Nothobranchius furzeri: one gene and its partner. The protein of the gene in region 1 interacts with the protein of each later gene in a pairwise test. Links are inferred from orthologs where the notes say so. Each region holds a gene or a part of one and is shown on either strand. Other genes may lie near its edges.

Region 1 (2,889 bases):
TGGGATTTCTTTACAAACGAGAAACACGTCATAGAGACAGCTCGTGCAGGGACAGCCAAACTAAAAATAATCAACACTATTTCCACACATTCATAAATATACTGCACAAATATAACAGTACTCTGCTGGTTCAGGTAAGACTGATGTGGCCGACTAAATAAGCTCCCAAAGACAGATGTTTGCTTCTGTAATCAGAAAAACAAAACAGCGGAGTCATCCTGACAATTCAAATTTTTATGCAGATCAGTGAAATTTTAGAAAACACAACAGCTAACAAGAGTTTAAAAGCTAAAAGCTCTGAAAACATGCAACATAAAATAACCCCCCCTCTCATAAGAGGACAGAAACGTCCCACCACTAAATCCCATCTCAAAGGTTTGATAACTGGTTCATGAAGGATCGACGACTCCAGCAATGACTGAATGCACTTTAACATTAAAAGCTCCTTCATGCTGTCATTACTCATCAAAGACGGCTCAGGTTAAGCAACAGGAATGTCACATTTGGTCCTACAATAAAAAGCCCTGAAGGTCAAGTCCTCTGTGTAAAAAAAGGTTTCACAGGGCGGAGCTGTGTGTTCTGGGTACGAACAATGCCGTGTACCCAAATGTGTGATGTAGTTTACTTTGTTTTTGTGTTTCCTATTGCTCAGCCTACAACCTAAAAACTCCATCATCAAGAATTCAAACGTATAAAACAAGGATTTAAAAAGAGGAGAATGAAATACTTCACAGTGACTTACTGATGCCTACCAGAAGCAGGGCTGCTGGAACCTAAAATCACCTCACACGCACACACACGCGCGTGCGCGCACGCACACACACACACAATCATCATTTTACACTCTACCCACATAACTGCACACCCTCAGCAAAACACACACACACACTTCACTGTGGTTTACCAAGCAGGCTGGAGAAGAAGTTAGACCCCTGGCTGTCACCCCGTCTAGAACCCCCCCCTCCGAAGGGATCCATCTGGTTCAGTTCAGACTGATCCAGCATTTCAAAGTCTTCTGCATCCAAGTCCGTGTCAAACTCAGAGCTGGACTGTTTGCGGTAGCTCCGGTGGCCCCCGACCTGAGGGTGACCTTGCCTGCGTTGAGTGGTGGGAGGCCGAGGTTGCATTGCGCCCGCCAGCGCTGCCTGAATCATGTTGCTGGCAATGACTCCAGCCAAGTCTCCACTGATATCTGAGACAGGTGGAAGACCGCCGAGAGAAAGTTCTGAGTCCAGATCCTCCTGATCCGAGTCCAGATGAGCATCAACATCCAGCACTGAGGCCCGGTGACTAGCAGGTCCAGACAGACCCAGACTGGGCAGTCCGATGCTTGTGTCGTCTTCATCATCCATCAGGGTGGCATCGGGGTTAATGGATGGGAAGTCTGGGAGGTCTTGGGCAAAAGATTCTTCTGCGTCACTGTGTCTGTCGAGATCTGATCAAATGCAGACAGAAAGACGTCAGAGGAGAGATCAAAAAAGAAGATCAAGCAACAAAAAGCAGGAGCCTCACCTTCAGAGCCCTCTGTGAGCGGGGTCTGACCTCGCGACAGGTTGAATGTCCCGTTATCAGTGTAGGACACCTCGGCATCGGAGTGTTCAGAGTCGGTCAAGGCAAGTTCTTTTGCAACAACAGCATCATCAAACTGGAAGACAAAAAAAGAGTAACATATTTTTAATTTCCTGTGTTAGACAAAAGTAAAAAATCTTTACGCTTCTTTTCTATTTCCCTCTACCATAAGAAATGCTTTCGGTTTTATGTCCTCCCTGTTTGCTCTCACAGACTTCAGCATAAACAAAAAAGCAGTGGCAAGCCAACCACAACAGGAAAAGTGCTTGATGTGCTACTGTAACCAGAGGTGTGCTAAAGGACAAACCAAGAGATGTAGAGGAAACGCTTGGTATTAGATCAATGCTGCGCTTTAGGTTGTGCTAAATACTGAATAAACTGAAAGGGTAACAGACGTATTATTGCTGTTTCTATTGTAGTTGAGATGCTTCTGTTCACAAATCAGAAAAACTCAACTTGAATATAAAGGTTTAAGGAACTTACAGTTGGGCAGAAAGCAGCCAACTCCTCCTCACTGTCGCTGGCTTCACCCGAGGCTGCACTGCGGATCGGCATTCGCAGGACTGGAAAGTTTAGATGAAGCAGATAAATAACTCATTATTGCCCTTAGGCCCTTATAACATGTTCCAAAACCAAACTAACAATACACACAAAGCTCTGCGGAGTTGCACTGAATTTATAGAACAACAAACAATAATAAAAAGCAGCTTTTCTCATCACATCCTATCAGATTTTGAATTATGAACAACTAAATCATCCTTTTAAGACTCTGGACTGCTGTTGCATTCAGTTTCTATATGAAATAAACCCAGAAAAAAAACAGAAGTAAAACTAATGTGACTCTAGCAATTAAACAACAAAGTGCCTCAGACAAAATGGCAACAGGAAAGTTCTTCTAGCAAAACAACATATCTGTTTAATAAAACTGAACATCTTTTTACGGCCACCGGAGGGCGCTAAAGAACCAGCCATTACAACAGAACAGCCTGCCAACTATCAGTAAATGAAAAAAAAACTTCTTGCTGAAATGTTAAAAGTGAGAAACGACGAGTTTCTGCTAAAATCTAACGGATCTGATTGGTATTATAAAATGAATAACAGGGCTAAACATGTTTCTGTGACTTACATTGGTTGTCGATGGGCTTTGACATCATGTATCCACGAACGCTGAAGTCCAGCCTCTGCAGGGCTGGCTCCAGCTTCGCACACACACCCTGGAAAACCCTGTGATAGGCACCCAGAGGGGCCAGGAGGGTGGCTAGCACTGGAGTCAAAAGGAAAAGAGCACAAATGATGCAAAAAAAGAGAAAATTATGTTTA
Region 2 (4,085 bases), on another chromosome or scaffold:
TGAGGCACGAACCAGGAAAGCTTCTGCCGATTACAATTCGACAACAAATTATGAAAGAACAGATTAAATGCGCGGATTCTTCCTGATGTAAGAGGTGAGTCTACTCTTTGTTTTGGTAGTTTTGACAATGACATCATCCTAGTGCGGAACGTTAACTGTCTCCTTAAAAAACAGTGAAAACTGAAAAACGCGGGCAGCGAAAAGCTTTTCTGATCAGGAAATGGCTGGCAGTGAATGAGTTAAGACTAGTGTTTCTGCCATCATAAAACATATTCTACAACTCTTTACATGAGCATGAATATAATCAGCAGCATTAAAATGTTTAAAAATCTCAAAGAAACAAAATAAAAGCATGAAACAAAGATCCAGAGCAGGAAAACAAAGATGTAATGAAAGGAAGTGGTCATCTTCAGTTTAAAGTTTTTCACGATGTATTGGAAAAGTTTAGGTTTTTTAATTATTAACGTTGAATATACCCTCTCTTAAGCAACTAGTGAAAGTAAAAATAAAACCAGAATCTAAGAATCTACACCAACATGAGAACAGAGGATGTTCCTGAACGAATCCTCAAAATGTCCTTAAATTAACCAAGTTTAGTGTATTTTTCTCTCTGCTTTAACAGCAGATGTCTTTAGATTACACACACAGAGACTTTTAGGGCCATTGAATGATCTGCTAGAATTTCCTTCATCCCTGACCTTTGACCTCACAGCACCATTGAAGCTCCTCAGCAGTAACGCCTGTGGAGGCTGAGCTCAGTCAGATTCACAGAGAAAGATGAGACTTATGCCTTTGGACCGCCGCACTGCACCGTCCAGCTGGCCCTCCGATCAGCCTCATTCTCATAAGCATCAGCTTCATCTTGTCCAGATTCGCTGTAGATATTTTCTCTCCTCGTCTTTAAAGCCTTTCGAAGCTCATTACCCAGCTGAGCTTGTTTGAACAAAAACAAATTATTTTTTAACAAATGTATTCATTAAAGCTGGCTTCATCATACAAACCATGAAGGGACACTCACCTAACTTCCTGTTGTGATCAAGAGAATCATCTGGCACCACGTACTCTCCTTCATCAGGTTTGTGCGGAGGCGGAGGGAGCTTCTCTTTGGTCTGTGAACGCAGCAGCGGTGCTACTTGTGCTTTGGGTGGCGCTACGGATGATGGAGAGGGGATGCTGACACACTCTGGAGCAGAGGACGGTACTGTGGATCAGAAACACCGGTCAGCAGCTGAAGCTGATCATCTCTAGAGCAGCTGTGTGTCCAGACTCACAGATATGAGTGTCGTAGGGCTGAGAATCCACATAAGGACACAGACGGTACTCTGTCTTCTCCAGGAAGAACTTCAGCACATCGTTCAGAGACGGCACGGTCACCTGAAGATCAGAACACACTTTGTTTTCATATAATATAAAGTTGTCTTTAATAGTGTGTATTAATATCTAATGTCACAGCTCTGAAAAAGGACAAATCTGAAGAATCTGTATTTTGTCATTATCTACCATTCTGATCATCTAAACTGGTTTGTGACCCAACAAATGTTGGTCTGAATTCCTTGGATTAAAAATGATCAGCCTCCATCTTAAATTGTAAAGCGGCAATATTATATGGAATTGGGTCCTGTTGTTGTCAGAGAGAAGCCACGGCTACATTTTATGGTGATAACAATGATCATCACCATAAAACCGATCACAGTAACATTTAAATCTGAGATTTGTTTTAAAAGCCATAACTCTAAAACAAAAACATTCACTGCACATATGTTTAAAAACAGAAGTCTCTCTTTACAGGAAGTAGGAATATTTACTCGACACAGTTTTCACTCTGACATTTTCAGCAGAAATGTGATGTTTAACCAGTAGTGAAAGGAGCTCCATGTATCATTAAGTGTTTAATGATTACAAAGCTCAATAAGCCACAGAACTCTATTCAGGTGTTTTTTTTTAAAGGAGTGGTTCACTCATTTAACACATTTGCAGTAGTCACTAGTAGGAATGAATGTCTTGTATGTCATATTTGGGGGGAAAACACCAGTGACCATTTCCAGGAATAGAATAGACTTTATTCTATTCCTGGGGAAATTTGCTTGTTACAGCAGCACCAACACATGAGAGAATAATTTGAAGAAAAAATAATAACAAAGTACATGTATATACACATAGGCAGTAGTCTAAAATTGTAACCTTCGACCACTAAAGGCCACGAATAAAAATAACAGAAAACTTAGTTTCTATAACTATCCAGACATACTATGTAAATCCGGTATTGAACGAGTATTGAACACACAATAGATATTGCATTGGTGTTATTGTGTACCAGGATAATACCAGTACAGCTTAAACTGAGGAGTTATACACTCTTACTGCAGAGGGGATGAAAGGTCTACGGTAGCATTCTGTTTTACATCTGGGATGTCTCAGACGGCATCTGAAGGAGCTGTCCATGGTCTCCACAGTGGAATGCAGTGGGTGGGAGGGGATTTTTAAGATGAAGGTCACTTTCCTCAGCATCCTCCTTTCACACGTCTCCTCAGCTGAATCCAGTGGGCAGTCCAGAACCGAGCTAGCTTTGTGAACTAGCTTGTTCAGTCTTGCTGTTTCAGTCAGAGCTGCATGCGCCCCAACAGACCACAACAGAGTGATAAAAGGATTTCAGCAGCTGGGAATTAACTCTGAAAAACCTCAACATCCTCAGAAGGTGGAGGCGGCTTTGGCCCTTCTTATACAGAGCATCTGTGTTGTTGGACCAGTTCAATTTGCTGTTGAGGTGAACACCCAGGTACTTAAAGGTATCCACCACCTCAGTGTCTGCACCTTGGATGTTTACTGGTGAGGAAGAGTGTTTCTCTGGAAGTCAATCGCCATTTCCTCTGTCTTACTGGTGTTCAAGCGAAGGTGGTTATGCTCACACCAGTCCACGAAGTCCAACTGAACTGTACTCCAGATCATTCCCCTCAGACACACAGCCAACAATGGCTGTGTGTCTGAGGGGAATGATCAGAGAAATTCTGGAGGTGACAGCTGCTGGTGTTGCAGGTGAAGACCAAGGTGTAGAAGGTGAAGAGAAAGGGTGAGAGCACCGTACCCTGTGGAGCTCCAAGTAGGAACTAGCAGTGACCAATATCACAGCTGAGCTTCAGACGACAGGTTTTGGAGTCGTATTTCCTGATATTTGGACATCTCACCTCAAAATGGCTGACAGCAATGTGACTCTACCACTGACTTACAACACTGATGTTTTATCTCTGTTAATAACACAAGCTTGGAGGAGTTCTGCCATGTGGTCGAGTTGCTCATGCCAACAGTTAGCTTCTACTAGCTACATTCTCTGCTGTTTCCTGGACGTTAAACCAACAGCCTTCCCCATCGTGAGTCAATTGGGAGCCCAAGTCACGCCCATCTACTGGGTCTACATGGGTCCCCGGAAGAACGAAATTATGAATGCAAGTCAAAGGGGCTGAAAACGCAATTTTCTAATTCCGCTTATGTGCCATGGTTTTCACATATGATCTCTGTGAATTTTAAAGACGCAATTAGATACCAAGAAAGTGCTTATTTTTGAATGGGGGAAACGTTACTTTAGGTTTTGTGCGAAAATAAGTCCAGGACTACAAATGTGCTTCAAGAAAGTGACGTCCTCGAACCAGACATGGAGAAAAAAAGAGAGAAAAAATGACGTCCTCGAACGTCTAAGTTCAACTAACTTCAAAATCCTTCCTTCCGGAGGGAAAAAAACACCTTAAATCTGGCTATTTAGTAAGTAGCAGCTAAGCTAGGGGAGAGGAGATTGTGTGGTGATCGTCATATCTGCAATGTACTGATGTCTGATTTGTAGTCATGCTAATTACGAACGTTTACGAGCTGATCAATCTCAAAGTACGTGACTGGCGTGGTCGAAACAGCCATGATTAGTTTTCACTTAAATTGAAGCACAACGTATGTGCGATCCAGGGCGTAAGGCAAAGAGGATTAGTAAAAAGCCCTTTTAGTCCCGTTGACTCGCATTCATATTTTCGTTCTTCCAGAGTCCCATGAGCCGACCGGATTTAGACTTAGGTTCTCTATTAATGTTAATTCACAGTGTGACG

What was found.
Region 2: the proteins of retreg3 (region 1) and signal-transducing adaptor protein 1 interact in binary tests that used the Homo sapiens proteins (3 or more experiments, as listed by UniProt). The two-hybrid records come from large-scale screens. The link is inferred for Nothobranchius furzeri from reciprocal best matches to the Homo sapiens genes RETREG3 and STAP1.

Annotation. Positions count from the first base shown.
Region 1 is NC_091745.1:7,580,355-7,583,243, reverse strand, and holds the end of retreg3 (reticulophagy regulator 3), read right to left. Parts: intron 2,834-2,889; coding exon 2,696-2,833; intron 2,133-2,695; coding exon 2,053-2,132; intron 1,646-2,052; coding exon 1,513-1,645; intron 1,436-1,512; coding exon 891-1,435; 3' UTR 660-890; downstream 1-659. UniProt on the Homo sapiens protein: Endoplasmic reticulum (ER)-anchored autophagy regulator which exists in an inactive state under basal conditions but is activated following cellular stress.
Region 2 is NC_091741.1:91,828,733-91,832,817, forward strand, and holds the end of signal-transducing adaptor protein 1, read right to left. Parts: intron 1,375-4,085; coding exon 1,272-1,374; intron 1,202-1,271; coding exon 1,019-1,201; intron 934-1,018; coding exon 785-933; 3' UTR 644-784; downstream 1-643. UniProt on the Homo sapiens protein: In BCR signaling, appears to function as a docking protein acting downstream of TEC and participates in a positive feedback loop by increasing the activity of TEC.